4 linked regions of the Arabidopsis thaliana genome follow. Each later gene encodes a partner of the first gene's protein in a complex. Each region holds a gene or a part of one and is shown on either strand. Other genes may lie near its edges.

Region 1 (4,675 bases):
AGAGATGTATAGTAAACAGATGGTAGCATTTAAAACGTCATTGTACATCTTAAACGTCATTATATCACAATTCACAAGCAAGATTTATAGTCTCAACATCATTTCGATTTTAAAACAAATACATACCAAATATTTATATATATATATATTTAAAACTGTGGTGAAATAATGCGGAACAAACAAGACAAATACTGTATGCTAAACGTGTTCAATGTGGACACATCAAAATTTAACCTAATATGATGAATTCATATGATTAAAATGAATTAGAACTAATTTGTATCATTGAAATCGATCGCAATTATATAGATTAAAAACTACAAAGATGCTCTCATGAGAAACAATTCGAAGTTAAATTGAGTTTGGCTTAAGTTCGGAATCACTGGATTTCTATCCGAGTTAATCAAACAAAATTTATATAGTTAAATACTTTGCTTTTCTGTTTGATTCAGTTTAAAATAGACACATTGCATCATCAGTGGATCACATTTTCTCAAAAGATGCCACCTTCTTTTAATGGTAAGGTGGAATATTTTTGGAATATATTCGTATGTCTAATCTAAAGTATAACTTTAGTCTTTAGAGTCAAAGCAAAAAGATAACATTAGAATTTCTAGTGTAAATTAAACACTCAAAGTTAATTTTTAGTGTTTAAGATTAAGACAGGAGAGACTCAAGTAAAATAACGGAGAAACGTGTGTTAACATACGAACACTAATGCTGCTCAAATATTTCTCAAGAAAATAGAAACCTACAATTACGACAATAAAGCCTATTTGGCTAGTCGGTCGCATTATTATTTTTTATTAATAATTAAATATTGCCAAAAATCAACATTAAGCTTTGCTTGTGGATATCGATTTGCATGAAATATTCATTATGCAATCACACTTGTAAAAATTATTCTCGACACCGAAAATAGAAACCGCACCAACCAAAATTAGACTACATTTTTTTTTTTTGGGGGCAAATTAGACTACATCTAAAACACACAAAAACCTCAAATGCAAAACCATAAATATGATCGGGCAACCCAAACCTATCGAACCAAGTCAAAAGCGGAACACTGTTTAATTTCTAATTTCTAAGCCGGTTCAAAAGCAAACCCGTCACGACGTAATTAATTTATAGTAAACCACCTCGGTTTAATTGAATCAACAGTTCAGCCTCGGTTTGGAGTAAAAAAGTACATTACCAAGAAATTGGTATTTCTTAACCGGTTATACAAACCATAATTTCTTAAACATCTGCATTTTACAATGATACAATCTTTCTTGCATCTGCAAATTTGAAAGAAACAATCTTTGTTTCTCAGTTCTTCTATCCGAATCACAGGTTTCAGTATACTGAGCTGCCGCAGTTTTGGTTAACATAGGCATATCAGAAACAGGAAACAGATGACAAAGCAAACGCTTGAAACATGATGCAGGTTTTATCGAGATTTGGACTTAATCAACAGACATAGCGTCGGTTATGTTCCTCTGATCTTCCGACGCTGACCGAATCTCGTCCACCAAACTCTTCTGCTCATCTTCCATTGTGTTCTGCAACTCATCCACCTACATTCCCAAAAACGTTCACAATCACAAACTCAAACTTCAAACATAGATCACGTAATGAAGACTGAAACGTAAAAGGTTCGGTTTTTTGACATTACCACATGCATCAGGAGAGCAAACTGCTTCTTCCTTAGCTCAAGCAATCTCCAACTTGCAGTGCTCTCTGCTTCAAGCTCAGCAATCTCCTTGTTCAATTCATATATAACCTTCTCTGTCTCTGACCTTGGCGGTTGCGCAGAAATCAGTTTCCTTATCGTCTCACACTCTTCTTTATGCTGTCTATCTATTTTACTCTCCTCAAGCTGCTTCTTTAGATCTTCAATCTCAGCTTTCGCCTGCATTATCTGCCTTTCCGTCTCATCTTTCACCTCATTAAAGCTCTCTTTCTCCCTAAGGTTTGCTTCCACAACCGCTTGGCTCTTCAGAAGCGGAATCTCGAAAGTTGACAGTTCCTGTAAAAAAGCTTTGGCAAGTCTACCGCAGTCGTTATAGTTCTCTTCTTCTTTATCCACCTCGAGTACAAAAGAAGTGAACTTCTTCTGAAGTTTCTTCAATGGAGGCTCGCCTCGAGTGGTCGTGGTTCGGGTTAGAAGCCGGTTTCTTATGATTTTGTCATCGTCAACAGGATCAAATGCATAATTAACCTTAGTTACTACAGTCTCTAATCTACCAGAAATTCTCCTTGCTTTAACTGACATCTCAACTTACTTAAAAACCTCTTAATTCAATCCTGCAAAGGCAATGCACAAACAAAGAACATTCAACAACCAAACAATCTTAACCTACAGAAATAAAGCTAAGGGATACATATTCAAGCTTGGATCTAAATAGCAGAACTGAAACATAAAGTATTACCATTTACGCAATAAATCTCTCGATTTCTTATTCTCTTCTTCAATTTCTCAATCAAACTTAAATAGATTTTCATGAGCATTCATCATCAAAATCTTAACTGTTATTTCATTGATTCGTAAGCAATTTCTCAATCGTACCATTCGAACACAATTTATGGTACAAAAAAAAGCAAAAGGTTAACTCTTTACTTACTTGAAGTGACCCCAGATCCAGATTCGTCTTCTGCTATCAAAAATTGAGCAAAACAGGTCCCTTTTGTTCAAATTTTGATGAACCCTAAAAATTGAGACAATTCATCTTCGTCCTCCCTTGTCTTTTTCTTTTTGGGTTAAATGCAACAAGTACTCTCAACTTATATTATATTACAAAATAGACCCTAAGTTATTAAAATATAATATATACCCACATTCTTTTTTTTTATACTCTAATGCCCTGTTAATTTTTTTTTACAAATAATTGTACAAAAGGCCCACAACTACAAACATAATCTAGTAATCGAGTATACACATGACACCAAATCTTACTTTCATAAAGTGTCACTCAAAAATTAAATTAAATTAAAATCTATTGAGATATAGAAATGTGTAGCAAGGAAATCAAAACCATAAAAGATAACTTAAAAAGACTCTAATTTTACGGGTCAAAAAATCACATGATTGAACAAGAATGTACATTTTCGTCGCTAAAAATCTGAGAGGGATAAGCATGTTGAGATGAATACTGAGGAGGGTAACTAAAGATTTTGTTTCCATCACTTTCTTCCTTCTTATTATTGTTCTTCTTATTATTGTCTTTGCCTTTCTCTGTAATTTGACTTAGAAGCTCTGCATGTTTCCCAAGTTTTTTCTTGATTTTCTCCACAAGTTTTGGAGGATCCATGACTCCTCGTACCACTACCGTTGACTTTGACCGGTCTGGTTCCACCGATTGAATGCCTTTTAATTTGTCAAAACAAACAAACATATTCTAAGTTGTTTTTTTTAACTTTCGATATCGTATTATTTCTATATGTATATACAAAGATTACCTTTTATTTTTTCAATGCCTCTTTTGATTTCATGAACACATCCTTCACAGTGCATGTTCATTCTTAAAATTGCAGTTTTGATCTCGGGAGCACTCTAAAATCATGCAAAAAATATTTAGAAATGATTAGATATGTTAGTTGTTATTCTCAGATTAATTAGACAAGGTATGATATAAATGAGAGTATATATCTAAGTTCTAACACGAAATAATTGGAAATAACTTACTTCTTTCTTTTGCTGTGGCTCCTTCTGATCTTGTTTAGGGTTATGTTTTGGGGAAATCATCTCAGCATTTCTACTAAATTTCTTTTGCACTCTTCGTAATATCTTCAACGGATCATCAAATTTTCCAGACACAACAACTTTATTGTCTCCTATCTCTGTCTTAATATGCTCAACCCCTATAAGACAAATAAGATAATAGCTACTTATGAGTCATGAGTAAGAAGAAAAAAACGGTAATCCTATTTTTTAATTGATGCTTTAAGAACTAGAGATTACTATTCGTTATGTCATTGTGGGAATTAATAGACAACTTCTCTAGATTACAGGAAAGAAAAATAAAACTGAAACCAGACTAGATAATGCTTAAGTTAAATTATAGTACAATTTCACTCAATGATAAATGATTAAATATTTGACATTGATTCTTATGATCGAGACCATATATATATGATTCCATTAAAGAGGGAAAGTAATCTAATAATGTTTCTTTTAATAGAGTATTACCATCATAGCCCCTCAAGCAATGAGAAACTTGTGATGCACATCCTTCACAGTGCATGTAAACCTTCAGAACAATTTCTTTACATTGATTTTTCTTATCAGACTTATCGACTGATGAATCTCCATTTTTCTGGTTCTTCTTTTCAGACTTGTTGTCTGATTCTCCATTTTGCTTGTTCTTTAGAACCAAATCCAAAACACAAAATATAAGTTCACATAATTTACTTAACAAATTACTGGAATTACCAAAGACAGGAATGCACATACCTTTCCCATATCAATGTTTACTCCTTTGTACGACAAGTGCAATGAAAAAGTTGAATAGTGAGACTCGATATATATAAGGTCAGAGAGGTTTTACGATCAATTAATTATTTCATTTGTAACATACATAAAATTATTTACTTCTCAATCTGGATGATCCTATTTGTTTACAATGAATAATAATTCTAATATTCACTAACAGGATTGATGACAAAGAGACAAATAATTTTGTAACGATCATTA
Region 2 (5,597 bases), on another chromosome or scaffold:
AAAAAGGAAAGAAAAAGACTTTTTTTTTTTTGTCTATTTATCACCCAACAAATGATGTTATCAACTCCGTGGTGATCTCAAAAAAGCATCCTGTTATTTCAACTGGGAATGTTGGTGGACCTAATTCATGCTTGCTCAAGCCTTGCAAACTGTTCCAAGATCCACGCGAAAATGAACAAGAACATGATGATCGAGGAGTTCGGAGCTAGGGAAGAACAGTTGTCTTAAAGAGGACGTTTCTTGTTTCCTAATTCTCTATCTTATGGAAGCATCCTAATTATGATTTGTCTTTGTGTTGTGTGTTAATTGGTGTCTTTTCTAAATTGTTCTTTGTTTGTTTTAATTTTCTTTCTATATTCCTAGGAATGGATTTGTTTCGGGTGACACTGTTGGGCTAAAACAGACACGGTTTTGTCTCTTGCACTTAACATAATTATACTGTTTGATTTCTAATCAGATTTAATACAAAAAAATTAAAAAAGACGACACACTGTCTGTTTGTCTGGATCGGAAAAGTAGTTTGTATTCGTTTTCCATATAATGGATACATATTTGATTTGCTATAAATTATAACCCTAGGTTATGAAGATTTTTTTTTTTTTTTAGGTTACGAAGAATGTTGACGTAAATTGTAAAGACAACAAAAATAGTATTTTCATCAACATTACTTAGTTTTATTCCATGCATGATGGAACTTTGGTTGAGGATTTCTATTTCTCACAAGGTAAATTCCATCATTTCTAGCAATCTAACGACGTAGAGCATCACATCGATCAATGTTGGCTGCTCTATATGCTACAAAATCTTTATAATATCGCATGTATAAGCCGTGTTTCAAAAGACAAGTCCATCTTGTCCTTCTTCCAAACATGTCTCCGAAACGGATTTGTTTTAGTTCCTTGAATTGTAAATTTGCGACGTCTAAATTGTCGTCTTTTGAATGACGATGATACTAGAGAACCAAACCGGGACCAAGATCATTCATAATTTCAATTGTGTTACGTTTACAAGACAAAACTGATACAAGCAATCCAAAATACGTCGCAACAACTAACATAAAAATTATAAAACGATTCATTTTTCGGGTAATATGAAACTCCAATTTGAATTTAATGACACCAAAGTACAGTATCTATAGTTATTTCGTGTGGTTAGTATTTGACGATTTTCCTATGGCCTTAATAAATTAGTTAAACTGAAACACAAACATGTAGTTAATAATAGATAATGTCGGAAAGTCTGGTTGACTAATAAAAAAAAACAAATGAATTCAACATTACAAATTATAAGTGATCCAAAAAACCTAACAAAAACCAAAATGTTTAATATATAACAAAAATTCTTCTAAGCATATTCTTTAATTCTAGACGAGGCAATTTGGAAGCACTGATTTGAACATAACAAAATAACAGCAGCCCTCGCGCCAATACAGGCACATTAAGTTTAACTATAAATGACTTTTAGCGGATTAGATTTTAACATAATGAGTTTATAAACAGGCCAGACCTAAAACAAATAGCTTTCGAATAACGTTGGTCAAACCGACCCGTTTTCTTTTGTTGTTGTTTCTTGAGCAAAGGAGGACGAGGAGGAGAAGAAGGAGAAGATGACTGTAAGTTGGATCAACTTTTCAATTGCTTATGGATCTTTTCTGACTTTCTTTGATCGTTTTTTTGTCCCGAGTAGTTAACGATTCTGGTTGAAAACGGGAATGGAGCGAAGAACGCTGAGAAATTTTTTAGGTTTTGGTTTCCATATTTTAGTTAATTTGGTATGTTACTAGCTAGTACTTGTACTCGTTGCTTTCTATTTGTTTATATCTGTTAGGACCAAAAGATGTAATTAACATTTTTAATTCGATATTTGCCTAATTGCCTTGTTAGTAGTATCGTGGTGGACTCAAAGATCATCTGAGCCCATGGGCTTGTTCAATAACAACCAATTCATAGTTTCACGCCCATTCAAAACAAAATCATACGACTTAACCGGACCCGGTTTTGTATTGAAATTGTATACAACATAATTTGCTGAAACAAAAGACGACAGAAAAACAAAATCGGTAAGTAGTAGAAAAAGGAAAAGAATAGTCCCCTCTTCTGCAAAATCAAAAACATATTTGCATCATCTTCACACCGTCATCATCATCGTCTTCAATTTACTTCCACCAAATCAAATAATCTCTCAAAAACCCTAATTTCTCTTTTTCTTCTCTGATCAAAATTGTTCGTTCCTCTCCCTTTTCATCTTATCGGAATGCTTATTTTCTGGTCGCCAATCGAAGTCTAAACCCTATTTTCTTAATCTTCTAGGGTTTCGAAAAGGGAGGAGAGTGAAAGATATACATACATACACACGAAAGGGGTTTAAGATGTCTCTTCCGCTACTGGAGTGTAAGTACGTGACGGAGGAGTTTGTTCGTGAAGGTAAGAATGGCAACTATGGAACCAAGCTGCCCAGCTCTGTGCCGATGCTTCGTTTCCTCTACGAGCTCTCTTGGATTTTGGTATACACACAAACACCACCTTCTCTTCCTACTACTATCCAATCACGCGTATATGTTGTTCGAGTTCCTCAACGGTGCCTCGTGATGGATTATTAGGTTCGTGGCGAATTGCCAATTCAGAGCTGTAAGGCAGTGTTGGAAGGTGTGGAGTTTTTGGATAAGCCATCGAGAGAAGAATTAGCTTCGTGTTTTGCGGATGTTGTGACTCAGATAGCTCAAGACGTAAGTCCAATTACAGTTTTGACATCCTTAGCTCAGAGATGATTGTGCAAGGTTATTGATACTGATCGTTGGATTGATTGGGTTCGTGTTCTCTTTGCTTTGTTTTGCAGCTTACCATGTCGGGAGATCAACGTTCTCGTCTAATCAAATTGGTGAGTGCTAGAATTTATTTTACGTTTTGAAAATTGATCATTGTTTGGATTTGTTAGTCTTGAGGAAAGATAATTCTAGCTCTTTAGATATTAGTGATCACAAAAAGTAACATCCTATGAATAGATTAGGCATGTGGTGTATAGCTATCAGTAGTGTCCTAAGGTTCAACCAACCGATGGCTCATCCTGGGCAGGTTGCAAGAAAGTTCCTGATTGTAAAAGGCTACTTCATCCTAAGGAGCTGAAACTTTGACCATAGTGCCTTAGATGATCTATTAGCGTAGTTTGGTATTGAATTTTCCTTGTATGCTTGATCCAATGTTCTCTGATGAGCTGCTTACAGAGGAGTTGTTAGCATATGTCTTATTTTATTGAATTTGATGATTGCGTACTTTAGTTTCTTCCTTAAAATATTCTTTCTGTTCTCATTTACCATCTCCTCAAGGTTTCTATGCTCACAGCTAATGAACCAATTGTTCTTTTTTGGTAGGCGAAATGGCTTGTGGAATCACAGACAGTCCCTCAAAGGCTTTTCCAAGAGCGTTGCGAGGTAAACATTATGTTACGTTCAGCCAATGAAACAGAGTAATACGTAGAGAATCTTTATATTAATAGAACTTAAAACAAGAAAATACAGCTTTGAGAGGTTTCTTAATAGAGTCCCCTCTTATCCCCCCTTCCACCTTTCACTAGTTCTCGATAACTCCCTCACTGGTACCCCTCATCTATATAGCATGTGCATCATGCAATCCTACTGCCCATCATAGAAACCGTAGCTTGAACAAGTCTGGAGTGATAGATAGAGACTGCTAAATAATAGTTATTGTAGCTGCTAAGGTAGTTATAGAAGTTAACTTCAAGGCTGTAGCCTGTTTCGAATGTCACATTAATCCCTTAAGACTGAAGAATTGTCCTCAAAGATCCAGTGGACCAGCTGGTCTCACGGAATAGCCCTCTTCTTCTTGCTGTAGATGTAAAGGATAGGAGCGGGCAAGTCCTAAAATGTTTGTTATTATTCCCAATTTGAGTAGTTTGTACCCCACCCACTTAACCTCTCTATTTTCTTGATCAGTAAGAAGAAAATTTTCTGAAGGCGTTTTATTTATTTTATTTTAGGAGGAGTTTCTCTGGGAAGCTGATATGGTTAAAATAAAGGCCCAAGATTTGAAGGGGAAAGAGGTGAGGACTTCACACTTCTGTAACTGCTGTATTAATATGACTTCACACTTTAGTCATCAATGCAGCTGCACTGTGCTCTGATTTACGTAATAGTTACTCTGAGTGAATTGCTATTGCGAAAGATTAATGCTTATAAGAATTTCTACTTTACCTGTGTAACTACTGCTCATTGTTTATAAGTAACAATTCTGGTTGATGCTTCTCAGGTGCGATTAAACACTCGTCTTCTGTACCAGCAGACAAAGTTCAACTTACTCCGTGAAGAAAGCGAGGGATATGCCAAATTGGTTCGTTATAGAAGATCTCTAGCAGTCTAGTTTTTTTTTTTTTTTTTTTTTTTATCTATTGTCATTCTTTCTGTCCACTTCGTTTCTATTGTCTTTTCTTAGATACTCTTTACTTCTGTTTTTTCTGAAACACAACTTTAAGGAATACCCCTTTAGTTTTTGGAAGGGATGATCTTTTCAACAATGCTGATTTGGCCTTTCCTTTTCACACGGTTCCAGTTGGAAGGCATATCTTCTGCTAGTTTTATTACCTATAACTGTGCAGAGTAATGAACATATTATCTCAGTAGAGATTCGATTAAGTCAGATTATACATACACCAACTTATAGCAGTTCCTTTTTGTGGAGTGCAGGCCACTCTTTTGTGCCGAGGATCTGCAAGTTCTTCGCACAATGCATCAGCAGCAACGATGGGAATTATCAAGGTTTTGATTCGGCCAATACATTATATTTCGCCCATTTACTTTTTCTGAACTTTATATTTTCTTGCAGTCATTAATTGGGCATTTTGACCTGGATCCAAACCGTGTTTTCGACATTGTAAGTTTTCACTGTTGCTTCTGTCATATTTTTGTTTGATATTGCATAACGCATCAATCTGTCCTTCCCGATTAGTAATAATGTACCCTTTGTTTTTGATGAATAGGTTTTAGATTGCTTTGAACTCGAACAAGATTACGACACATTTCTCAATCTAATTCCTATCTTTCCCAAGGTTTGGAATGTCTTCCTCGTATTTTTATCTTCTAATGCTTAGCTCAAGAGACTATTTTTTGCTAAAAAAAATAATTTTCATGTGCAGTCTCATGCTTCACAAATTCTTGGATTTAAATTCCAATACTATCAGAGACTAGAGGTGAATAGCCCTGTTCCAGTTGGGCTCTATAAGCTTACAGCCTTGCTAGTAAAGGAAGAGTTTATCAATCTTGAAAGCATGTGAGTAGTTTTTTCTTCAACTGTTTTTTCCGCCCTTTCCTTTCTTGCTTTCAAGGTCTTTGGAGCCTCTCGGGAATATTCAAAATCGAGCATTATGTGTAGCCTTAAGAAAGTATACTGGTTTTATCTTTTGTCGTAGACTGAAGTCTCCTTACTAATTGGATACTTGTAGGTAGTCTTCTTCATGACGATTTCTTTTCTTTTCATTATGTGAGAATAAGGTTATACTTGCACACTGGTTTTTATCCTTTTTTGCAGACTGAAGTCTTCTTTCTAATTGGATTCTTGTACATGTCTTCTTCATAACGAGTTTTTTTT
Region 3 (6,927 bases), on another chromosome or scaffold:
TCTAAATAATACGTGAAGGGAATGATTAGCCTTCATGAACGACCGGAGAGAAAGCTGAGGAGAACGAAATCGGACATCAAGTGAATCAATGAAACCCGAGTTGGAGGATGATGATGAGTTTATTTTGTTCATCATGTTTTGTTTTCGTATATTTTTGACCAAATAAGCTATTTATTAGACATCTTATTCTTAAACCCATTTGATAATGTCCTAAAGATCGAATTCTCATGGTCTAGGGGAAAATCCAAAACTTATTTTTATTGGAGCCAGAAAATACTACTATTAAATATTATTATTTTGGCTTTAGAAAACAATGTCATACTAATCTCAACCATAAAACTATAAAATTATATTATAGGCTCAATAATTGCTGCTAAATTTTTTCACTATTGATTCATTTGCAATATACAAAAATAACTCCTATAATAAATCAAAAAAATTCAGTGTTGATTCATTTGCAACAAAACACGAAAAATTTCACTGTCTTTTGTGGTTGGCTTTGTTCTTCCTGGGACATGGGAGTGAATTTAGCAAATCGTGGTTCCTCTTAGGTCTTCGTTCATGCCTTTGATTTTGCTTTGTCTTTTTGATATGTAAAAATTTACGTTTGACAGTTTTCCTGTAATTTAGGGATTCGCTTCCTTCTTTTGGATTAAGTTTTTGGGATGTATTTATTTTCCGCCCGCTCTTGTAATTCAAACTTGCATATTTCCTTGGTAATTGTACTTAAATAAGATGACAAAAAAACTAAAAGTTAAAGTAAATCAAACTATATAATCACTTGAAAGTTATAAACTAATATCCAATTTGATTTGGTTTTGTTTTCTTCACTACCTCCAATTGCAGGAACAACATTTGTCAATGATTGCAGTAGCAACCTGTAATAACGGTTGTCTACGAGTTGATTCCTTTTTTTTTCTCCAAAACCTGTGACGAGCCCTTTTTCACTTTTCTAGTTTCCAAGCTACCCGCTAGGCTTTAATGCTTAAATCGAGACCAAAACAGAGCAGGCTAAAACGGATTGGACTTGAAACATTGCCAGGTTTAAAACAGACCAGGTCCTCACCCAACAAGTAGGCTGTTTCAATAACGGTTTATACGATAAAAAAATGTTACATGCAAAAACTTTTGCTTGTACCACCAGAGAAAGATAATATAGAGAAGTGAGTGGCGATGTAATCTCTAGCATGGATAACCCGATGCACATCCTCTGCCCTTCCATGAGATCATTTTCCGGTGATCTCTGCCTCTGAATGATCTCACAAGAAGCTTACCGTCAACAGGCTTGCACAAACCGACATCAACCACAGTTGTGGCTGTTCCTCTTTTGGAATCTGGAGATGGGTCATCCACGTAATAGTCGAACAACATTGCTAAGCATCTGATTTGATGAGATAGGAGATAGTTTTCTTGATCTGAAGGAATAATCTTCAACATATGAAGGTTCACCTGATACCGCCACGAAAAGGTTACAAAGGCGTTATCTTTGGTGTCATCGAGTAAAGATTAGTATATGTTACTGGGTTTGACACTTACTTCTGCTTCCATTGCTCGAAGTTCATTGTAATGGTCACTTTCATTTGTCCCATTTTCATTTCCTGATGAAGAAGATGCGTGGAGAGACAGAGAAAACAAAGGAGGTCGAAGAGGATACTCCATGCTAATTTGTACCTGCCAATACAACTCGATTTAACACTTAAGAAAGAAAAAGATATAGGGAAGATACCGTATTAGAAGATAGTGTTTTAGAAGTTACCATTGCTTCTAACTTCCACAACTTTCCGCCATCTGTTTTCCTGGAGAACACAAGCGCAAACTCTCTCGAACCATAATCCACCCATGAATTATCAGCTTTCTCAGGGCATAACTCTTCCACATGCGCCTCAGTTCTTCCGGTTGGCTCATCTATTTCACTATCATCGTCCAGAACAAGATCCAAATCATCTTCGTATTTCTTGAAACTTGGGGACTTTCCTTTGCTAATCGGAGAATCTAGATTCTTTGTCATCAAGGCCAACTGCCTTGACCGTGCTTGATTAGATACTTTCGATGGGGTATGATTGGAACTGGTTAACGAAGCAGCCGCCGTGACCAAAGAGGGAAGTTCTCCATCTTCCCGTATACTTTCAAAATCTTCTTTTCCAGAAATAGATCTTCCATCTACATCGATTTCCATAGGTTCTGGAACTTGTTCCACACTGTTCAGAGTCAGAGAGCATGACTTACTAGCTGAAGATTGTATATGTAACCAGGAATCCAAAGCACAGAGAACCTTATGCAGTGCCCAAGGAGCATCTTCGCAGTTCACCACTGGTAACTCATGTTTCATAAGCAAATCAAGCTGTTCCCTGTAGCCAGTAGAAGTTTCCAAAGTATTCAGCAAAAATAAACATATCAACAGAAATAATTACCTATAGAAGCTCTTATCACGAAGTTGACAATGCTACAGAGGGATTAAATTGACCGCCAAGTTATTGACAAACCCAAACTATTAAATGTACAAACCATATGCTGATTATCATGGTGGTCTACTAATTTTCTGGAATTCTTTGCATCGTGTTCTTTAATTAAGACGGAAAACATACAGAGTGGTGAACTCACGCAAGAGCCAGATGCGCTTTTTTCCGCAAGCGTATTCTTCGCAGAACTGTTTGCACTCTATGCTGCTGGCGATACAATGAAAGATCAGGCACAAACGTATCACTTTTAGCTGGGTCAGTGTTATGAGCTTCTTGGCCTAATAAAACCGGTGAAATATCAATTCCCGCCAAATGTTGTACCCATTTATAAGGCCTTGAAGTTCTGTTCTCATCAAACGTCTGACCATCACCAAGGATGAGCTTGGTTGACTGCATGGAAAACCGGCCATATAAAGAGAATTGAGTATGCATTTTTAAAAGTAAAGCCATCAAAAGTCACATGTAGAAGAAAACTGAAACACAGAAACAAAAAGTTACCTGATGAGGAGGCTCAAGTCCAGCGTCATCTGGAAACAAGTTACAAAATATGTTTTTTTCTGGTCCATCCTGAGAGCCTTCAGCGCCAACACATACAACATTCAACTTCAGCAAGTACTCAAACTTGAGAATGACAAGTTTCAAGGATTTTGTATCTGGTATCTCATCATCATATATGTGAAGGACAATTTTGAGAGGGTGGACTTGATATAATCCTGCCTTGTCAGAACCTTCTTTGCTAGTAAGTTTCTTGGGTCGTTTTCTTCTCCTTTGTCCATCATCATCGTCATCAGGTCCATCATCCTCCAACCTAGAACTCTCTGTATTACTCGACATACCTGAAAAACCAATACCAAATTAGCATTCTTTTCGTTTTAGTATTAGAAAACACAGTAAATTTTCAAAACAACTTACCTGAGTCCTTTCTGGATTGTTGTCTAGCATAAGCTTGAGCATCCTTAAGACTCCCAACTACCTCCAATTCAATACTCTCCTCAAAAGCTTCCTTTTGTGCCAAGAGCTGTGAGTATAGAACATAAAGCGGAGGAGGAAGCAGCTCAGCTAAATTATGCTGCTTCAGTTTCTTTGTGTGCTGTATACCCAAGTGGTTCTGTACTGGAAGCGATGCTTTCTTCAGAGACTTAAGGTGTAGAGGAAGACTCGACAAAAACTTCTTACGCTCCGCAATGGTTTCTAATAAACTCTTCTTCTGTTGCTCCAATCTCGCTCGATGCTTACACAATTCTTTCCTCTGAATCAAAAAACATAAAAAGGTAATGAAACATTATATCACGTTGAATGAATTTCAGAGATGGTGATGATTAACCAACCTGATGAAGCTCAAAATTGAGTCTCTTAGGCATCAAAACATGAGAACTATCACTTGAAAGCGATTGATCTTTGATAGCTTCAGGAGCATGACGAAAGAAGTCTTGTTCAGGAACAAGGTCAATATCAGGATACTTAGATTTGAAATCTCTACAAGCCTTGATAGCTTTAACGTAATGGCTCTTCTCATACATAAGATTATGCAATTGCAATGTCGTGAAATCAACAGGTGCCTTTGCTCTTTCCGTCTCCGCTTTCACTTTATCTTCCTCAGTCAAAATCGCCCGATTCGCCTGCGAAAAAAACCCTAATAAGTATCGTATAGCGAAAGAGGTGGAGGGAGAAGATTGGTAAGTACCTGACGAAGATTGACGAAGTTGAGGAACATTTGAGTGAGGAGTTCTCGAATCTCAGATTTGTGGTTTCCTTGTTTTTTCATGGAGAGCATCTTCGCGACGATTTCTTCTACGGAGGTTTTGCTCTCTCGAAGTAGCTCGAGTGGAGATTTTCCTGGCTCTCGGGGAGGTTGTATAGTCTCTATGGTAGTTACTTCCGGCGTCGGGAATTCGTCGGCAGTTACCATTCCTTCCTCTATTTCGCCGTCCTCCATTCTCGATTTCTCCAGTCAGGCTCGCTCCGGTACTTCTGACAGGATTTATGATTTTTCTCTTCTTCTTTTTTTTTGTTCTTTGTTTTTTTGTCAAACTATTTATGATTTTTATGTAAACTATATTTTGTTACAAATATTATATCTACTCCATGATGGGATGATAATTGCGTAAAAGAGATTATGTAACATTTTTTTTCAGAAAATTCTGTATAAAGACAAGAAAAAATTTGGTTTGATATCAAAAATATTATGTAAAAAACACCAAAAAGGAAACTACTTGATAATTTTGGTGAAGGAAGAGAGAGACATATCAGATATGTCGTGGTAGAACAGAGGTTTGATCAATCAAATAGCCTTCTATGGTACGGAAATTTTATTGAGTTGTAGCTAAGCCTTATAACTAGATTTACCACTTTGCGGATTTGGATTTGAGTTAATATTCTAAAAGTTATCTGTGTTTTCGTAAAGTCCTCTGTTTCAGACGTGATTTAGACCAGAGTGTATTAAACAAATTATCTCGAGTGCACCTGCGGTCAGATCATCACTAAACTTTGAGGTTAGCTTCAGGACATCTTGAGGGTTGAGTTTCAACGGTGGAGATTTGAATTGGACGGTTAGATTGCGATTCGTGACTCAATATTTGAGACCAATTGTTTGGGTTATTTTCAGATTTTTTCCAATTTAGGTTAAAGGTTGGTTTGCTGTTGTAGTTGGATGTATGGTGAGTTGAGATATTGTTGGTGAGTAGGAAGTTACTGCTCGTTGTGGGATTGTTGTTTTTGGTTTCAAAATCATTCTTGTTTCGAGGTGGGTATGTGACCATGAGATTATCTAAGCAATTGAGATTGTGTGATTTATTTGTTGTATGTATAGGCAGTATTTTTGGTACCATTATTCAATCCCCCGAGATGGTTGTGTCAATGGATGATTGTTCATTGGTTTGATTTATTTCATGATTTATTTGTTGATTGTTATATTGGTTTGCTTGTGTGTATAACTCGCAGGTAAGAGAATCGTTTCACTAAGTATTTATTGAAATATTTATGCATTTCTTTTCTTGATGCAGATAAAGATAAAGTGAGACGTAGAATCATTGCGAGAAAGAAAGGATGATCTAAGGCCAAAATAAGAAAATAACACCTACATCACCGAAACGAGACCCTAGAAAAGCTAAACACATCAACTTTTCAAAAGAATTTATGACTTCGTCAAAATTTAATCAAGATGCGAGTCAGGTAAGTCACCTAAAAGAGTAACATTGATGTACTCATTAGGGAAGTGAGCAGGTAATCCAGGAATCAACAATGCAACAACCCTAAAACACCTTAAGAACCATCCTTCTCTGAACTCTCCACCTTTCCAATAAGGCATGACGAAACTACGTATCAACTCCCACAGTGCATTCATTATCTTTGGTAAAACCCATACGAGATTAAAGTAGTTTTTGTTTGGTTCCTCTTCCTCTACCTGAACATAATACAAATTAAACAACAACAATGTAGATAGATATCATCAGTAGGGTAAGTGCGTAAGCGACATTAGACGGATGAGTGATTAAAGCAAAGAAACAAGATTGTCATATATATGCAACCAACCTTTCCTTTATAGAAACTGTCATAGTAAAGGCATGCCCCAAAGTGTTTAAACATGAGTGTTTTGTCGTCGAAAGGCAACCTAGGAACCATGTCGTTGCAATAAACATATCTTTCATACTTCACGTCAAACTTCTTTAGTGAATCTTTCATGAAATTTCCAAACTCCTCGTCGCCTACGCGTGGCTGTCCAAATGTGTAAACTCCTTCTAGTCTCTCTAGCATTTGCTCCTCATCATGCATCACCAAAACAGCCGTGAATAGGATCGCTAAAGCCCCACCTAGGCTATGTCCGGTCAATATAAATTTAGATGTCGGGTTTTGGTCGAGGATTTCTTTTAAGTGACGCCTAACAGTGTAGTATGCATATAGAGTTGTTGCGTTTTGGGTTTCGTCAAGGTTTACTTCTTTAGGCCATCCTTCTTTTTGAAGGCCCAAAGCTTTCATGAACCCGCCATGAATCTTTCCCACATTCTTAACCTCGTACCTATTTTGGAAATCAATACTAGTTTTATTAGGGGGGCTAAAGGATGAACTTAAAGAGTATAAAAACAAAAACCTAGACTGTTTGTGTGTGGAAATAAATTATAACAAAAGAAACTAAAATTACCAAGAGAGATCCAGGTCTGTACACCAATCATCGGCATCGAAAGGATCAGTGCCTCTGAAACTAACGATGATGAGGTTTGGATCTGTACTTGTGTCCTTTATAACAATCACCTCCGTTGATCTTTGTTTCTGGTAACCTAAAAACCAAGGAAGAAAAAATAAATTAATTTTTTTTGTTTATATAATATAAATAGAAAAATGAATTTGATCTTAAAACTGTATATGAAAAAAATGAAAAAAAAAACTGTATATGAAGTATTTTAGGAAAATTTAAATTCTAGAGAATTTGAGGTTATTGTCTCTAAAAATTTTAAATATTTTAGCACACATA
Region 4 (5,729 bases), on another chromosome or scaffold:
TAAGCCAATTTGGTCCCGGAGATGATGGAACAGATCTCTGCAAATGATCAACCAACAAAATTAGAAGCAAGATCAACCTTTAAGCATAAGCACATGAATACTGCAACTTCTTGCCCTGGAACTTCATTCAATGAGAGTGGTCACTGTATCAAGGCATTTCAACCTGTAGCTGTTATATCCTAATAATATGCATACAGTGACCACAGATATATGAGAAAATTATAGCATTAATTTCAATCCTACTCGTGAGGATAGTGGAGTATCTAATTAGTGTTGATCTAAGGTATGAACATACAAACATTACGGATATGAAGTGTTAGCCTACCTGTCATGATAAACTAGGACTAAAAGCAGTCAAATATGTTATGTCAGTATTATAACTTAAGTCAATAAAACTTCTATTGCAGTAGTATGAATTAGAGAGTTATGTTAATGGTTAGTAGTCATACTTCTGATGGAAACTGGGAGGCCCATCCATTCATGTCAGCTCTTGCATTCTGAAATATCCCTCCAGAAGCCAGAGGGCTAGGGTGGTCAAGCCCACTCTGACTTAAAACTGTAGCATTCTCCAACAGTGTGGTTACACGCAAAATTTCTGTTCCAAAAATGTCAATTTGCAAGAGTAAGACGCACCAGTTAGAATTAGTCAACAAATCAGTCACCAAGACACCAATGAATGGAGAGACAGCATAGTTAATTGAGTTAGCTTAAAATATATTTTTGCTCTCACTCTAGTTAAATACACTCTGGTTAAATAGAATGAAGTCAGTATAAGAAATATAGAATTAGTCATTTCGTGATCTACTTCTAATAGCTAACAATTAGGTCTCTCTTAGCAGTACTGTTTAAGAGTTTATCAACTGTATTATAGCTTCATGAATCTGAAGCAAAGAATGAAGTATTATGTGAGATGAAAATACAAATAATAAACAACAAAAACAGTAATGCTCACCTTGGTTTAGTAGCCGAAATGCATGTGGAAGCACAGGCAGGAATGGAGTAAGCTTATGACGCTCTGCAAGTAACTCTGAAAGATACCTGCCAAAACAGAAATTGTGCAGAGTATCCAAATTAGTAAAAAAGCCTCAAAGACACATCAAACTTACAAACAGATACACTCAAATTCACTCTAAATCGATACAACCAGATTCAAATTTCCATTCTTTTGTGAAGTGGATCTAGTCAATCTTCCAAAAATCGTATTTTTTTTAACAGTTTCATCAGCCAAGAACAGAAATCAACAATAACAGAAACGAACACAACCAATGAAATGATCCTCACACACTAAAGACTTATGCTTTACAAAAAATGAACTGGATTGAGACAAATCTGAAATAGACTGAGCTAGTTCCGAAACATAGATCCTAATATAATCAAAAGAAAACAAAAAAGACAAAAATCCAGATTCGAGATACACTATTAAGATCTAAAAATCAAAATCAGCAAAGCAAAGATCAACATACTTCATCAGATACATCAGCTAATTATAAAAGATCACCAAACAATAAAAAACAAAAATATAAAAGAAGATGAAAAACTAAGATTCGATTACTTCTCTTGCTCAACGAAGACAGAAGACTGTGATCGGAGACCACCGGAGTAATTAGGAGACTGAGGAGCAGAAGGAGGCACCGAAAGAGACGACGAATACGTCATAAACCTCCCTCCGCCGCCACCACCAATACCACCACCACTTCCTCCTCCTCCACCACCACCACCACCAAGCGACGACATCATCATCATCTCGAAGACAACAGAATCAGAGTAAATCTGTCGGAGATTAGAAGAAGAAGAAGAAGCGGCGGAGGCAGAACCAAAGCTGTTGTTGTCTCTCTATAACGTCGGTGGATTTAAGAGGTCATTTTATAGAGACTGTGAAATGATTACTTGTTGTTTGCTTAGCTGTTTTTTTTTTCACCTTTTTTCTTTGTTTCATATTTTACCCAATTTTACCGCTCTTCTTGTTAGTTTCTCTCTGAAGACTCTTAACCATCTAGAAGGTTTTTTACATCCGGTTTACTAAAATTCGATTCGGTTTATCTATACCGGAATGACTAAACGCTGCGTTTCAGGAAGCGAAGCTCTGATATTCAGTAGGCCGCGAAGGAAGGTTGAAGAAGAAGAGTTGAGAATTAAAAAATGGAGGAGACGACGATTCCTTTCAAGAGCTTACATAGCAGAGAATATCAAGGTCATAAGAAGAAGGTTTTTTTTTTCTATCTCCAGTCTAATTTTCTGTACTCAATAAAACTTGCGAAACCCTAGTTTTTTGCTGAATCTGGGGGAATTTTTGGATTGAAGGTACATTCAGTAGCTTGGAATTCGAATGGAACAAAGCTTGCTTCGGGTTCTGTTGATCAAACGGCTCGCATTTGGAATATCGAACCACACGGTCATGTAATTTCTTTACCTTTTTGAGCTATGGGAACTTCTATGTGTTTTTGATGATGATGAATACATATGGAGAAGTATTGTAGATTGAGTTAAAACTCGATTATTATCTTTGTCATTGTTACTTTTTGAGTTATGTAGTTTTTGTAATTTGGTTGTTTGTGTGGTGTGTGGATACAGAGCAAGGCTAAGGACCTTGAGCTAAAGGGTCATACTGATAGTGTGGATCAGCTATGTTGGGATCCCAAACATTCAGATCTTGTTGCTACTGCCTCTGGTGATAAAAGCGTTCGTCTTTGGGATGCTCGCAGTAAGTTATATTCTTTTAATCGTTTAGTTTTGCTCCTGAAATATGCCTGGAGCTTGGTTTAGAAATCTGTATATTTTCTAATGGATTAGCTATGTGTCATTCACAAATATTTCTCGCAATCTTGGCCTTTGCTTTTGAGTCATATCGCGGAGACTATTGATTGATGAGGATCGGATCTAAGTTTCTTAGAATTATAAATTAGTTATTTAGCCAGATTCCATAAGAGAGGAATTTGATCAGGTTTTTGATATGTGGCTACTATTGTATGTTTTACTATCAATTGCTGAGATATGTCTTCTTCGAGTTCTACAGGTGGAAAATGCACACAGCAGGTAGAACTTAGTGGAGAGAATATAAACATCACCTACAAACCTGACGGGACACATGTAGCTGTTGGTAATAGGGTATTGTCTCGAGCCCCATATCTTTACACTTTCATTGTTCTTACTGTCTATGGATTACTTGATAGATCCCTTTTCATAGTCGTTGTCCTTTCTCTTACTGGCCAATGTAGGATGATGAGCTTACAATTCTGGATGTCCGTAAGTTTAAACCTCTACACAGGCGCAAATTCAATTATGAGGTAACGTAAGCTCAGACTCATGTTAATCTTTATTAATGGCTTTTTTTTTATAAGGCTCTTCCGTATCTCCTGTTTCAAGCTCATGCGGTTATATGTCACCTAAGTTCCTTGTTCATGTAATAATCGTCAAGTAATTTTCTGGTGCCGTATGGAATGTTCTCTTATCTTTTGTCTTCTTGTAACAGGTTAATGAGATTGCTTGGAACATGCCTGGAGATTTTTTCTTCTTGACTACTGGACTTGGTGAGGATTTTAAATTCTGTACTTTCCTGCACACGATTCCCTACCAAAGATTTCTTTGTTTTTGAACTTGAGAAAATGATCTTACTGAAAGTTACTTTGTATGTTGTCCTGCTCAGGCACTGTTGAAGTTCTTTCATATCCATCTCTTAAACCACTTGACACTCTCACAGCCCACACAGCCGGGTGTTATTGTATTGCAATTGATCCTAAAGGGAGGTAATATATATTTACATTTGTGGGCTGGCCTCTGAGACACGAATGATAATCTTTTTGCTTTTGCATCTAATTCTTCCTCTTTACCTTAACAGATATTTTGCTGTCGGGAGTGCGGATTCCTTAGTAAGCCTTTGGGATATCTCAGACATGCTTTGTTTGAGAACATTTACCAAACTTGAGTGAGTATCAACATGAATTTTCCATAGAGTAGAAAAAGGTTTAATTTCTGTTACATGTTAGTAATTTATAACTATTTCTCACAGGTGGCCAGTCAGAACAATAAGCTTCAACTATTCGGGAGAGTATATTGCTTCAGCCAGTGAAGATTTATTCATTGATATTGTAAGTGATTGCCCAGACTTAAACACTGCTAATTTCAATGTAGTTTCCTCAATATGAGATTAGTTCCTCGTATCTGACCACTAACTACCAAACAGGCTAATGTCCAAACCGGGCGGACGGTGCATCAGATTCCATGTCGGGCAGCCATGAACAGTGTTGAGTGGAATCCCAAATACAATTTACTTGCATATGCAGGTGATGACAAGAATCCCAAGTATAATACTGATGAAGGTACTACCGCGTATTAGTACTTCATTGTTAGCAACAACTCAAAACTCTAATATTGGTAGCAGAAAATGAACAATGACAACAACTTGGATCTCTTTGCAGGTGTTTTCCGGATATTTGGTTTTGAGAGCTCGTAGGAACAGAGCACTGAATCGGGAAACATGATACACAACTCCACTTGATTGTTCCTTGTTGAGTTAGAAAAAGTTTATGTGCCTAGTGTACCTAAATATGTATTGTCAGTATATCAAGTTGGAATAATCTTACAGTATCACTAAATACATTGAAAGTTTGCAGTTCTGAATCTGGCATTTTATTTATTGCAAAAATTTGTTACTATACAAGCAATGTTGTTTATTATTAACGAAGAATGAAATTAATAAGATCAAGATCAGAATTCTAATCCCGAATTACATCAATTTTCTACTATGTGTGAGTACTGCTAAAAGTTACAGGTTGTTCTTATTCCCTCCGGCGAATCTTCAGTCTGGGAGATTTGACAGCTACTCTCTCAAAGCTAGAACAGAGGCCAATGGTAAGATCGGACCAAAAGCATCATCCCCACAATGAAGGTTGAAGAAAGAATGCAGAGTCCTGAGAAAGAAAACACATTTATTACTGAGAGTCCAATTTTGGATTAAAGAACAAGAAGAGCACACGATTTGCTTACCGAACAAACAGTGAATAGGAAGAGTTTGTCAAAATCCGCAGAGGATGAACTTTGAGACCGGGAAGAACAACCCTGCAGAGCAAAGAAGAACAATAGTTATCAAATACTGAGAGAACCAAGTAACAGGTTTCCACTTGATCTCAACGCTTGAACTCTTCATCCTCTTCCCACTCATCGGCTCTTTCGACAAATCAAAGCTCGACCCTTTCATCCTCAACTCCAAAACACACCGTGTAAGCGTTCTATTATCATTCCTCTCCCTATTAACACCTCTGTAAACTTTCCAGAACACAAACAGCTTAGCTTGAACAAGAAACACCAGAACCAATGAAGTAGCTAATGACACTGCAGAAGGTATCCACCATTTCTTGCAAACCGCATTACTTTTCACCACGTCAGCATCATCAGAACAAGAAGAAGAGTAGACAAGTGTGAAGAAGAACCCATGGAAGACTAGGAAGAAACAACAAAGCTGAAAGATCTCTCTTTTGATTGACTCTAGTCTTGATTCTTTAAGAAGAACACGACGACAGAACAAATCTTCTTCTCTTTGCCATAACTTCAAAAGCAACAAATGTCCTGGACTCTCTGAGATTTCAGACAACGGATGCTGCTGAATCACTTTGAGTATTCCCATTCCCGGATTTGAGACCGCAACCAACTGTTGTTGTTGTTGTCTCTCTTTATGCTCTTCATCTACTGGAATCTCCACTACATGAGAATCTTTAGTTCCGGCCATAGAGAAA

What was found.
Region 2: THO7 (region 1) and THO2 share a complex: the UniProt entries of both Arabidopsis thaliana proteins name them as parts of the THO complex.
Region 3: THO7 (region 1) and THO5 share a complex: the UniProt entries of both Arabidopsis thaliana proteins name them as parts of the THO complex.
Region 4: THO7 (region 1) and TEX1 share a complex: the UniProt entries of both Arabidopsis thaliana proteins name them as parts of the THO complex.

Annotation. Positions count from the first base shown.
Region 1 is NC_003074.8:664,183-668,857, forward strand, and holds THO7 (Tho complex subunit 7/Mft1p), read right to left. Parts: upstream 2,741-4,675; 5' UTR 2,607-2,740; exon of another isoform or gene 2,415-2,606; intron 2,290-2,414; 5' UTR 2,258-2,289; coding exon 1,658-2,257; intron 1,560-1,657; coding exon 1,449-1,559; 3' UTR 1,041-1,448; downstream 1-1,040. Other genes in the region: AT3G02960 (Heavy metal transport/detoxification superfamily protein), read right to left, coding at 3,063-3,349, 3,442-3,535, 3,668-3,843, 4,172-4,346, 4,436-4,444. UniProt on the Arabidopsis thaliana protein: Acts as a component of the THO subcomplex of the TREX complex which is thought to couple mRNA transcription, processing and nuclear export.
Region 2 is NC_003070.9:8,739,842-8,745,438, forward strand, and holds the start of THO2 (THO2), read left to right. Parts: upstream 1-2,098; 5' UTR 2,099-2,222; exon of another isoform or gene 2,223-2,309; 5' UTR 2,310-2,368; coding exon 2,369-2,503; exon of another isoform or gene 2,504-2,599; coding exon 2,600-2,725; intron 2,726-2,835; coding exon 2,836-2,877; intron 2,878-3,367; coding exon 3,368-3,427; intron 3,428-3,993; coding exon 3,994-4,056; intron 4,057-4,262; coding exon 4,263-4,343; intron 4,344-4,396; exon of another isoform or gene 4,397-4,609; intron 4,610-4,696; coding exon 4,697-4,768; intron 4,769-4,835; coding exon 4,836-4,883; intron 4,884-4,989; coding exon 4,990-5,058; intron 5,059-5,145; coding exon 5,146-5,279; intron 5,280-5,597. UniProt on the Arabidopsis thaliana protein: Acts as a component of the THO subcomplex of the TREX complex which is thought to couple mRNA transcription, processing and nuclear export.
Region 3 is NC_003076.8:17,205,128-17,212,054, forward strand, and holds THO5 (THO complex, subunit 5), read right to left. Parts: upstream 4,524-6,927; 5' UTR 4,396-4,523; coding exon 4,144-4,395; exon of another isoform or gene 4,079-4,143; coding exon 3,788-4,078; intron 3,709-3,787; coding exon 3,372-3,708; intron 3,296-3,371; coding exon 2,958-3,295; intron 2,850-2,957; coding exon 2,602-2,849; intron 2,349-2,601; coding exon 1,757-2,348; intron 1,672-1,756; coding exon 1,537-1,671; intron 1,450-1,536; coding exon 1,183-1,449; 3' UTR 844-1,182; downstream 1-843. Other genes in the region: AT5G42910 (Basic-leucine zipper (bZIP) transcription factor family protein), read left to right, coding at 19-84; AT5G42930 (alpha/beta-Hydrolases superfamily protein), read right to left, coding at 5,611-5,862, 5,991-6,474, 6,598-6,733. UniProt on the Arabidopsis thaliana protein: Acts as a component of the THO subcomplex of the TREX complex which is thought to couple mRNA transcription, processing and nuclear export.
Region 4 is NC_003076.8:22,721,476-22,727,204, reverse strand, and holds TEX1 (Transducin/WD40 repeat-like superfamily protein), read left to right. Parts: upstream 1-2,105; 5' UTR 2,106-2,139; coding exon 2,140-2,205; intron 2,206-2,301; coding exon 2,302-2,397; intron 2,398-2,571; coding exon 2,572-2,701; intron 2,702-3,013; coding exon 3,014-3,105; intron 3,106-3,215; coding exon 3,216-3,284; intron 3,285-3,469; coding exon 3,470-3,527; intron 3,528-3,643; coding exon 3,644-3,743; intron 3,744-3,835; coding exon 3,836-3,922; intron 3,923-4,006; coding exon 4,007-4,085; intron 4,086-4,180; coding exon 4,181-4,316; intron 4,317-4,415; coding exon 4,416-4,450; 3' UTR 4,451-4,723; downstream 4,724-5,729. Other genes in the region: AT5G56140 (RNA-binding KH domain-containing protein), read right to left, coding at 1-37, 450-595, 953-1,038, 1,553-1,743; AT5G56120 (RNA polymerase II elongation factor), read right to left, coding at 5,012-5,722. UniProt on the Arabidopsis thaliana protein: Acts as a component of the THO subcomplex of the TREX complex which is thought to couple mRNA transcription, processing and nuclear export. Contributes to the integrity of the endogenous trans-acting small interfering RNA (ta-siRNA) pathway.